Macaca fascicularis: one gene and its partners. The protein of the gene in region 1 purifies or fractionates together with the protein of each later gene. This does not show direct contact. Links are inferred from orthologs where the notes say so. Each region holds a gene or a part of one and is shown on either strand. Other genes may lie near its edges.

The links. The genes of interacting proteins can lie anywhere in the genome.
Region 2: the proteins of VAPA (region 1) and WDR44 purify together in Homo sapiens (affinity purification with mass spectrometry; 3 studies listed by BioGRID and IntAct, counting the BioPlex papers as one, with this or other methods). This does not show direct contact. The link is inferred for Macaca fascicularis from reciprocal best matches to the Homo sapiens genes VAPA and WDR44.
Region 3: the proteins of VAPA (region 1) and ZFYVE27 purify together in Homo sapiens (co-immunoprecipitation; 3 studies listed by BioGRID and IntAct, counting the BioPlex papers as one, with this or other methods). This does not show direct contact. The link is inferred for Macaca fascicularis from reciprocal best matches to the Homo sapiens genes VAPA and ZFYVE27.

The regions. Positions count from the first base shown.
Region 1 is NC_088392.1:78,284,296-78,287,857, reverse strand, and holds part of VAPA (vesicle-associated membrane protein-associated protein A), read right to left. Parts: intron 2,871-3,562; coding exon 2,767-2,870; intron 1,722-2,766; coding exon 1,641-1,721; intron 1-1,640. UniProt on the Homo sapiens protein: Endoplasmic reticulum (ER)-anchored protein that mediates the formation of contact sites between the ER and endosomes via interaction with FFAT motif-containing proteins such as STARD3 or WDR44.
Region 2 is NC_088395.1:124,674,932-124,679,021, reverse strand, and holds the start of WDR44 (WD repeat-containing protein 44), read right to left. Parts: upstream 2,801-4,090; 5' UTR 2,403-2,800; coding exon 2,326-2,402; intron 1-2,325. UniProt on the Homo sapiens protein: Downstream effector for Rab11 which regulates Rab11 intracellular membrane trafficking functions such as endocytic recycling, intracellular ciliogenesis and protein export.
Region 3 is NC_088383.1:106,691,095-106,695,118, reverse strand, and holds the start of ZFYVE27 (protrudin), read right to left. Parts: upstream 2,801-4,024; 5' UTR 2,607-2,800; intron 1,450-2,606; 5' UTR 1,449-1,449; coding exon 1,252-1,448; intron 1-1,251. UniProt on the Homo sapiens protein: Key regulator of RAB11-dependent vesicular trafficking during neurite extension through polarized membrane transport. Promotes axonal elongation and contributes to the establishment of neuronal cell polarity.

The DNA of each region.
Region 1 (3,562 bases):
GTGAAAATACATGAGCACCCAGCTAATCAAGGCTCAGACTCAAGATATTCTCTAGAGTACTTTGAAGTTACTTAACAGCTTTCAGGTTACTAGTAATACCTGCTCTGAAAAGGTTCCACGTTCAAACTACTGCTGCTCCAGTTCCACCACAGGCGATTCTGGGAACTCCATTCGGTATTTGCTCAAGCGCTAAAAGAGACCCAAAACTACTTTCTTGGATAACTATGGGCTAGACCAATAGGTAGGCATAACGGCTCTTTTCACCCAAGATGGGTAAATCGCTGGGTTCAACTGTCATTACTGTATCAGTAATGGTTTGGTTTCCAAACCAGTGAGAGCTACTCTTAATCAGCAGTATCAAATACCTGCGGTCTCAATGCTTTTCACACATCTCAAAGTGTGTGCTATCCAGAGCATAGCAGAAGCCCAGATAGAAGACAGATTTATGCTGACTGAATTACTGTAAAAAATGACATAAAACTCTAAGTGAGAAAATATCCAAATGTTTTTTTAAAAAAAGTCAATCCAGACAATACGCTGTTTTGTTTTCTTGATTTCAACAGTAAGAGCTGTGCAAGCTATTAGCTTCCCTCAGCCTAAGCCAAAAAAGAAAACCTCTAAATGGGAAGCATACACAGACCATCTAACACTCACTTTACAGAGAATATACGTGTTCACATTTTTTTGCTTTTGGCAAATACCTCAAAAATCACTTAAAAGAGGTATTTTAAAAATTCAAAAACTAATTTGGTCAACACCTAATTGCCAGAGACCTTTTCATTTCTGCTTATCCTGAAAGAGAAACACAGTAACTGAGCCCACGTATTTAATCTGCATGTTTACTTTTCAATAGAGCAAATGGCCACCAGATTAAGGCAGTAGTCATGTCAGACTGTAACCAAATCGTGCCAAACAATTCTATTTATCCATATTATTGTATGTATTAAGTCACATACACACACAGAAAAACTTATCTTTCAAGTCTCTCTTACCATAGGCAAAGATTCAAATTTGCAACCCAGACAGGGAAAAGGACAAGGTAAGTGACTATAATCCACTCTGTACATTCACCGACTACTATTTGTTTGTTTTTAAATAAACACATATATCCCTCAGTCCCCCAAATTGTATTTGACCTACACTAATGAGTAAGCAGCATAACAATTATTTACTAAAGAATGCAATCAGATGGATTTGACTAAAAACAAAAGTGAGCAAAATACCTGGGAATAGCTAAACCTGGAATAAACTGTCCATGTAAGTGAATTTTTTATCCCCAAACTGCTGGTACATAATGGCCAAAAAGCAATTTATATGTATTTTTAAATTATGTATACATGTCTCATTCTAAAAAAGAACCTGTAGTGGTTTACGCCACAAAAATCTGCTATACTTAAAGGATTCTTCTCCAGGATGTAGTCTAGACCTAAAAGTGAGTCTTTCTTTCTTCTTGGATAAACAAAATGTTATTTAAAAAAAAAAAAAAAAAAGCATACCAAGTTTTTTAAAACTTAACCACTGAGTCTTATGACATGAAAGAGCCATAACACACATACCTCAAAGGTCAAAAATAGAAGCAAAATTAATCAAAGGAACTGAGTGCTCAAAGCTTCAATTTTTTTTTACATTTTCCTACTTACCAATTTGTCATTTTCATTAGGCATTTCAAATACACATCTCAATTTGGAATCCATTAATTCATCAGGTTTTGCCTCTTTCCACTAAAAAATAAACAAAACCAAAAATGAGACATAGGAGGTATGATCATGGTAAGTAAGTGTGACCTCATGGGACAGCTAAAAGATGAGTGTAGCTGCCTGGCTTGGCTGAAATACACTGGTGCCCTCTTCACTGATCACCCTGCCATCGTTACTGGCTAATGTCACAGAATATATAATCCTAGAGTTACTATCACCATCCATTAAAATCACGATGATATCACTAGCAACCACAGGACTTTCTTCTTAAGAGCAGCATTTCTTTCTTTTTTCTCTTTTTCCAGTTGGTCTCATTCTGTCTCCCAGGCTGGAGTGCAGTGGCCACTCCTGGGCTCAAGCAAGCCTCCTGGGTAGCTGGGACTACAGGCATCTGTTGGTTTTTTTACTTGTTGGGTTTTTTTTTTTTTTTTTTTTTTATTGTAGAGACAGGGTCTTGTCATGTCGCCTGGGCTGGTCTCGAACTCCTGGGCTTGAGATACTCCCATCTTAGCCTCCCAAAGGGCTGGGATTACAGGTGTGAGCCACTGCACTAGGCCAGTAGCAGCATTTCTAAATTGTTTCTAAAAAAAAAAAATACTATTTAAAAATTCTTGGCCGGGCGCGGTGGCTCACGCCTGTAATCCCAGCACTTTGGGAGGCCAAGGCGGGCGGATCACAAGGTCAGGAGATCGAGACGATGGTGAAACCCCGTCTCTACTAAAAATAGAAAAAATTAGCCGGGCGCAGTGGCGGGCGCCTGTAGTCCCAGCTACTCGGGAGGCTGAGGCAGGAGAATGGCGTGAACCCGGGAGGCGGAGCTTGCAGTGAGCCGAGATTGCGCCACTGCACTCCAGCCTGGGTGACAGAGCGAGACTCCGTCTCAAAAAAAAAAAAAAAAAAAATTCTTTCATTCTGTAAGTTACGATTATCTACAATGAAGACATTGGCACTTTTTTAAAAATCTAAATTTAACTTTTAGTTTTTAGAAATTAAGTTTTTCTACTGACTGCTGAACAAAACCCACAGTTTAAACTCCACTCCCCAAAATAAATTCTTCTTCTGTACTTACCACAGCTTCCATATCTGAAGTGTTTGGTGGAGCAAAAATTGTCTGTACCATAAACTTGTGTTTACTCTTTTCATTCGGATCATAGTCAAAGGGCTGTAGCATTACTAAATAAGAAAAAAAGGATATATTATATTGTCTCCTGCATGTTTGAAAGACATACATTGAAACAGTTAGAGATTAAATTATACCAAGTCCGGGATTTGCCTTAAACAGTATCTGGCCATAGTATCATTCCTATTACTTCACAAATATGCAAATTTAAAGAAAACCAAGAAGGGTTCAAGAAACCAAACACCAGAATGTTTAAGAATCCAGAATCAACTTAATGGATCCCAAGTATTTTCAAATTGTCTGCCTTTCTAATTTACTAAGTTTTCCACAACCAACAAAATAAACAATTGCAATTAAAAATTAAATATGAATCTATGATTTTGCCCTTTCTAAACTCAGCTTGTGAAAATTTTCAAAACTTTGCCAGTGTTAACTATAATGCCTATAAGTTCAGATAAAATCTACTAAGTTATTAAAACTAGTTATGAATTTAGGCTTCATTTTAGTGTTTTCTGATTTAAAATTATATAGCTGGCATATTTAAAGGAGAAATAGTAACTTAAAACCTCACTACCATCTATTTTTTGCTTTTTAAAACGGAGTCTTACTGTCGTGAGGCTGCAGTGCAGTGGCGCCATCTCTGCTCACTGCAGCCTCAACCTCCCTGGGCTCATTTTGTAGAGAAAGCGTTTTCGCCATTTTGCCCAGGCTGGTATCAAATTCCCGGGCTCAAGAGATCCGCCTT
Region 2 (4,090 bases), on another chromosome or scaffold:
TGCATTCCAGCCTGGGCGACAGAGCGAGACTCCGTCTCAAAAAAAAAAAAAAAAAAAAAAGAAATTGTATAGTTTGCCACTACAGATCATATCAAGGAACAGAACATATTTCTGATGACCAGTATCTAGTTACGCAATCTGTCTCCACAAATCAAGATTTCTCACTACATTTCCAGGTTGTAAGTTGCCCACCCAGATCTCCTCATAGTGTCTTATGCAAATGATACAACCTTTCACAAAGGACAGAGGAACATGTAAATGATGCTAACCTTTTTCTGCCCTCTCAGTGCTGCCAGTTCTTTTCAGATGCAATTCTCCAGATTAGTCTATTCTCTTTCCAATCCTCTAATACAGAAAGGAGCCCTGAAATCCACAAACTGACCCTGTAGTTTTATCCATAGAGCTCAACACACTTAGTAATTGGGCAGGTTAACGTTAAAATTAGAAAGCTGAGTTCCGAGAAACTTTTTTAGTCTTCACCTAATATCAGAGGATCAAAGTGCTTGAGAAGCTATATTATCTCATGAGGGAAGAAGTGACTCTATCAATTCTGTCAAAATGACTCATCCGGTTTAGATAAGTAAAATAGCTCCAAGTTCTATATATCTCCCAAAGTAAGCTCTGTGTAAAGTTAACAAATATGCCAATGCCAAGAAAGGAAGGAGACGAGCACGAACACTTTGAATGCTTTCTCTGTGCCCAGGTACTGGACTAAACAGTTTACACAGGTCCTGACATAACTTGCGTCCTTTGAAATTAAACTTACTCAATGGAAAGAAACAATATCCACAGAGTAGTTCTAAACTGACCATCTCATAAACTGATGATTTTCCTCCCCCACCCCAATACACACACACAAAAGTACCAAAGGACTTGGTCTCTCATTTAATCTGAATTGTCAGTTCATTACTGTGAAGGGAAAACCACACACACAAAAAATTAAATTTCACGGAAATCCAATACATTTCAAAACCCAAATGTATTTCCTATCCTCTGCACTTAGCTCTAAACTTGTCTCAGATATTGAACTTGAAGGAGATTCGGTGCCATCTCAAGATTGGCCATTGCCACCCCAAAATCCCACAACAGTGACATGAAGGTTGTTGGAAAGACACATATCTGAAATCTACCAAAGTACATTGCTTTCTGATTTTATTACTGTAACTTTTTGGTGTATATTGTGTATAAACACACATTAGTTTTTAGAATGACTTCTAGCATGCATGGCTAACTATACTTGCATCACAGGGGGTATTTCTCCCACGGAGTAAGTATGAGAATTGAAGGCAGTGAACTTCTGGAACCATATTAGTCCTTTATACTAACATACAAATTTTACCAATCATCAAGTTCGTACAGCATGAAAATATATTTCACTGCCTCTACTTCCACGTACATTCATAGGGGAGTTCGGCGAAATTGCTTTAAAGCACTACTCCAACTTTGAAAAGTGGAGAAGTGGGTAAGCAAATACAAGTCCTAGTTAAGCGAGCATTCCAACTACTGTACTTCCTATTCAGAATCACCCATATTAATCACCACTAAAACATCGTGCAGAATTAGATAAAGAACACAAAGCTGGGGCTCTCCTTCCAATCACCAGATTACTCAGCACTTGTTTGTCCCTCTGCAGTCAGTTGTGCACATTTCTTCTGTTTGGCCATCCTTTTAGACCGCATTCTTCCTAATAGGGACCGTGTAATCGATTTCCTTTAACTCATGACAAGGTGTTATTTTAATAAAACACTGTTGATCTAGAGTACATTCGCTAGAGGACTTTCTTAAGCAAATACCCAACCTTCCCCCCCGCTCATTTTCGCTGTGTGCAAGAAAAAGAGGACGGCAAATAGGGGAGAGTTACAGCCACCTCTGAAGTGAATAGGTAAGTTAGCGGTAAACGGGAGGATAAAAAACTACAAGTTACATTTCTCCTGTTACTGCTCCTTTAATCTACGGTCTCCGAGGCCAAAACGGATGTTTGAAAGGTAAGCTCAGAACCCCACAGATACAAATCTCCGACTCTCAGGCACGTAAGCTGTTCCCCCTCACAGAAGGCTGGATCAGAAGAGAAACGGGCTCCGAGAGAGACCCTGGGACCGTTCAGTAGGGAAACGGCCGGGAGGCGGCCCGAGGTGGGCGACTCCCCCTTCTCCGCGTCACCCCACCCTAAGAAGCCCCAGGTCTGGGTTCTGAAGTGCTCCAGTGAAACGGAGAGGAACAGCGGTGGCGGACACAGCGGGACCTGGGAGGGGTGTAGGGGGAAGGCACAGGAGATGCGGGGGGCCTGGGATGCCCGGCTTCCTGGCCACAGCTGCAGTTACTTACCCCACGGGGTAGCCGCCCCCTAAGTGCACATCTTCAGGGGCATCATAGAATTCCTCGGTGTCGCTTTCCGACGCCATTTATAGGACACACCCGCGGGTGAGGGGGCCGGCGCCGCCTGGAGGAAGGGTGACTCTTGTCTCCTCCTCGTCGACCTCCACCCGGGCGAGACTGGGGAAGTGGGTCCCGGGCGAGGCTGAGGGAGCAGACGATCTGAAGAGAGGAGACTGTTAAGGAAAGGTGGCCGCCCTCAGTTGCCGGGCTTCGGGAATGACCGGCAAAGCGGCCGCCTGAAGAGGCGGCGGTGGGTCCACGGACTGTTGCTGCCACCGCTCCCAGTGATAGGTGTATAAGGAGCGCAAAAGAGGCGGTGGCTCTTCGCAGTGGGGGAGGAAGGGCGCGCCGGCGACAGCGGCTCCAGTTTCTCCCGCAGCAGCAATTTACAGCAGCTGGAAGAGCTAGTTGCCCGCAAAATACCGACGCGCACCTACCCTCGCGAGATTTCGGGAGGGGCGGTAACACGTGGGCGGGGCGAAGAGGTGGCGGGGGCGGTTCCAGAGAGGCAGCGCTCTGATTACTTCTGCCTGGGAAGCCTATCAAAACGGCGCAAGCGCGTTGAGGGCGTTCGGTGAGGACCGGAAGTAGCCGAGAAGGGAGGGGTTGAGCCTCCCGAAGGGAGGAGTCTAGAACCGTGGTGCCCGGGATTTGAGAGCGCGCGCCCGACGTAGGTGGGGTCAGTCAGAACGCCTTACTCCCTAACTGCAGTTCCAAAGAGACGCGTTTTGAGAGGGATGATTTTGGGTCGGTCTTTTTCTTGTAAAGAAGTGCTCTCGGGAAACGTTGGTGTGGACATTTTGGCGTATATTTACGATGTCTTACTATCCAAGCCCGGAATGTCCCACCCTAGGGCGTCGGCAGGTCCACCATCTCTGGCGTTACTAGAACAACTCGCCCTTATTGACTACGAGATCTTTAATTGAGATCCCTAGATACGATCCTGCCGGCCAGAGGGTGGGGTCCTTGAGATATACCCGGGGAGTGTGCCAATTCCATGGAGTAATGATGGATTTATTGCTGGAGCTGAGCCAGTATAAGGCCTCCGGTTACTTTTTCTCCGCACATGTCTGTCGCTGCCGACACGATGTGAGAGAAGTTCTTACTGCCCAAGATGTGCGTCAGCTAAATGGTAAATATTTATTGAGCAGATATCATTGCAAGCCTACGAGCTAATGGCTTAATTCTGATCCTCAACTGCCCAGCGTCCGGTGATAAAAATAGAAAGGTACTTTTTAAAAAACCGAAATGTTCTTAAACCACGGGTCATTGACCATCAAGGTGATAACATTGACTTTCAATATGATCACACAGCATATTTGTTTCTCCAACTGACGTCATGATAGGCATTTTGAGCTGTTCGAGCAGCCTCAATTACTACTCAAGAAAAGGCTGGATTGGAGCCAGGGGTATGGCCTCAGAGAGGCTGGAAAGGGGCTCTAGACTTTGTCAAGCAATCAGGGCAAGGTCTGCTGTGGTCTGGTGGACTTCGGTAAAAACCAAATGTCATATACTGTATATTCTGTAATACCCCAGGGAGTTTAGGGAAAACACTGCATAATCAAATATATTAATATTTTTGCAGCAAGATACATGATTGTTCGTACGGGATAAATAAATACAAGTAAATAACCTCATTCAGTTTGAGTCAGACGCTTCTGCCAGATAAGTTTAGGACAGACTTATTTGACTGTCAAATAAATTACTTATAAAA
Region 3 (4,024 bases), on another chromosome or scaffold:
TACCAAGGAGTTATTAATTTTGTTAGGTATGATATTACTTTGTTCTTGAAAGAAACGTCCTTAATTATTTAGAGAGAAAAACTGACATATTTAGGGAGTAGAATGCCCTATAAGTAATTTAAAATAATGTTAACAGCTGGGTACAGTGGCTCACGCCTATAACCCCAGCACTTTGGGAGGCCAAGGTGGGTGGATCACGAGGTCAGGAGATCGAGACCATCCTGGCTAACAAGTGAAACCCCATCTCTACTAAAAAACAAAAAATTAGCTGGGCGTTGTGGCGGGTGCCTGTAGTACCAGCTACTTGGGAGGCTGAGGCAGGAGAATGGTATGAACCCGGGAGGCAGAGCTTGCAGTGAGCCAAGATCGCGCCACTGCACTTCAGTCTGGGCAACAGAGTAAGACTCCGTCTCAAAAAATAATAATAATAATAATAATAATTTTAACATAATAAAATGAGCCAAAAGAAAAAAAAGAAAATTATAGAGAATGAAAATCAAAGCAGGATAGGAGGGAAAAAATTAAAATCCATAATCTCAATAAATTAGCAAAAATGGGCTGGGCGCAGTGGCTCACACCTGTAATCCCAGCACTTTGGGAGGCTGAGGCAGGAGGATCGCTTGAGCCCAAAAGTTCAAGACCAGCCCGGGCAACACAGCGAGACCCTCTCTACAATTTTTTTTTTTTTAATTAGCCAAGCACAGTGGCTGAAGTAGGAGGATCGCTTGAGTCGAAGAAGTTGAGGCCACAGTGAACCATGATCACACTACTGCATTCCAGCCTGGACAACACAGCAAGATCCTGTCTCAAAAAAAAAAAAAAAAGTAGTGAAAATGGTATCTGCTTATTTATAGATTTTTGTATTTCTTAAACTTTTGTTCAAAATTATATCCTAATTTTTAAATATTAATTAAGCCAATATTGGGAGCAAAGGAAAAAACTAAGCCTGCTCTAAGCTGCAGAAGGCCTGATGTTCAAGGCTGTCCAGCAGTCCGGAGGAAGGAGCTTATTCAGTCACAAAGAAGAATCCTGCTGAAAGGCAGGATCATTCCCAGTATCTGCCTTTCCTGGGCTGGGTCTGAGACACAGGGTAGGCCTAGATAAACCCAGAGGCCGAAAAGACCTCCCAGAACTGCTCCTCACTAGGGCAGAAAGGACAGCCCAGGCACTGCCTAAATGGCCGGTGTCAGTTACTACAGAGCAGGAAGGCAGAAGGCACAGCAGACATGAGCAACTCCACAAAGTCTGTACCTGAGCAAGTATCGAACACCATCACCTGCATCCTTCAAGGGTTCCAGGTAGATCTCCAGCCTCTTGTAGGAGAGAACCAAGTTGAAAAGGTCAAACGCTGGGGACTTGGTAGGAAAAGGTGGAGACTCCAGGGGAGCCTCGGGCATCACGCTGGGGCTCAGCTCCGGCCCACTCCCCTCACGTTCTGAAGTCTGCATCCTGTAACCATAATAATTACCAACATTTGCATTGCACGTCTAGTCCCCAACACACTTCTACCTACTGCTTCAGGTGGCGCCACAGTAAACCTGTGAGCAAGGCAAAGTGAATTATTCAGACCTAAAATCCTGTTCTTTGGACTCTCCGTCCAATGCTCTTTTCCCCACAGATCCATCAAAACTAAAATTCATAAAAACCAAGCATATTTGATCGCTGCAGCGAGGAAGCCCATGGGCTGAAATGAAATGATGTCCCGGAACATTTTTCTCCCACTCTTTACCTGGTTAATTCCTACTCATCCTTCAGGTATCAGCTTAAACATCACTCCCTTACTCTGGCAAGTCTCTGCCAACACCTCCAACTCTGGACTGGGAGACCCTCCCCAATGCTCCCAAAGGATCACGTACTCACCCTAACAGAGCACTTATCACATCACATCGCTTCTTGGCCTTGTGGCTAAGATCAAGTGCAGAGCACTTACCACGTCCAAGTAAAACTCCCTGCTCTTACTTGGCCGCCATTCACGACTGTTTCTGTACACAGTGGGTGCTTAACAAATGCCTGCTGAATGAGTGAATGAAATACCGTGTTCCAGGACTCCCGCCCCATCCTCTAACCCTTCCCACTCCCTTCAGTTCCCAACAACTTCCTGGGCCATCTCCGCCCAGGGCAGTCGGCATCACAACGCCGCATTCCCGTCTGCCCTCTCTGATGAGGAAACCCAGGAGCCTTTACGGTCTTTCCCAGTTCAAAGTCCTACCCTGAACGCTAAGCAGCAAACGAGGGAGCGGAACCTCGGCGAAGAGCAACATAAACCAGTCCCAGGCAATTAGCCGCGACAATGGGATGGTGAGGGGATGGGACAAAGGGGCCAACGAGAGCCGAAATCAACGCAGGCCGAGCCAGGGCGAAAAGGCACAGAGTGGCGCCAGGTAGAAGCCCAGGAAGGGGTGAGGTAGGTCGACGCCCGCACTGGCCTTGGCCAAGACCTCTGCAGCCAGGAGGGCCTGATGGAGCCCGTGCGGCAGGACAGCGAAGGCCACGCCCAAGTTCGCTGGGCCAGCAGGTGGCGGCCCCCGCTGCGCCCAAGCGCCCAACTACACACAGCCTGCGGAGACACGGGGACGCGGGGTGGGGGGGGCCGGCACCTCACGTACCCGGCCACTGGCTCCGTAAGAGAGACGGCAGGTTCGGGCAGGAGCAGGGGGAGAGCCACTGGGCCCCAGAGCGTTTCCTCAGGCCCGCCCCGGCCGAACGCCGCTCCTCCTGCCAGGGCCGTTCGGAAGTCGCAGGTCCGAAAATCTCCTCCGCCTACGCCGCCGCCGCCACGGCCGCTTCCGGGACGTGAATCGCTCTGCGGCTGCGTCCTCATGACGTCATGCCGCTCCGGCTTTAGCTCCGCCCACTCCAGCACAGGTGAGCTCCCCCCCCTTGCCAGCACTGCGCCTGCGCGCCTTTCCCCGCGCGCTGCAGGCTGGAGTTACCTTGTCCTTGGCTGGCCGGGTTTAATAAAGTGAGGACCCTTGGGAGCACGTGCTTGGCGACCCTGCACCTCGTTGCCCTGCCTCGCCGCAGGAGCAGTTGGCGAGAGGCTTAACTGAAGAATTTACATCTTCATCCTTTTTCCTTCCAACTTTGGAACTGAACTGGGGACTATGTGTGAGCCCAGGAAAGACGGAAACCGTATCCTATATGAGATGCCCAGCAGAGCATGCAGTTGTTTCCTGAGTAGCTAGTGTATACAAGGTCTTGTGCAGGCTTCTCCTAGCTCAGTTCACTTCACACCGTGTGGCCCAGTTAATTTCCCTTAAAGGACACGTCCGATGGCTTTATAGTAGTGACTTGGCGCTCAGGTACGGAGGAGCTAAGCACTGGACCGGACTGAGCTCTTTTTAGACATTATCTAGTCCTCCTCCAACAACCCTATTAGGATTGTCGCCATTTTACAGATGGGGAATCTCAGACGTGTTAAGGAACTTCTTAGGAACACGCAGCTAAGAAGCAACTGGGAGCGGGAATTTGACGCTTATGTGTCATCTGACCCCAGCACCCCAACCATACCACACCCACCTTGGTCTGCATTTCCTGGTCTCGTCCTCTGCCATCTTTCAGCTGCCTTTAACTTTGGCCAACTGAACCCCTCCATTGTTACCCTCAAATGCCCCTGGCACTCAAATGTCTGTATCCCTTCCTTGAGTGCCCCAGCTGGAAGTAATCACTTCCCTCTTCAAGCAGCCACACAGCTTTATCTGCACCTCTTTCTCCATGATCTCCTTTCAGAAAGACAGGCCCACCCCTCCAGCCAGGACTCAGCTGTGCTCCAGGGTCCAACTCTTATTTCCTTGGGGCTTTGCTCTAACAGGCCTGAAATCTTGACTCTCATTAACTCTTAATCATCATTTTTAGAGACAAAATTCATGGCAATTTTCTCCTTTAGCCTAACCTTACCCCCTCTTTCCTACCTGATTTGGAAGACTCACTGTAAAGTGCTCTCTACTGCTGCTTCCTCGCCCAGTTCACTCTTCACTGCACTGTAGTCCTGCTCCCCTCCATATTACTTGGCTCACCTGTGACA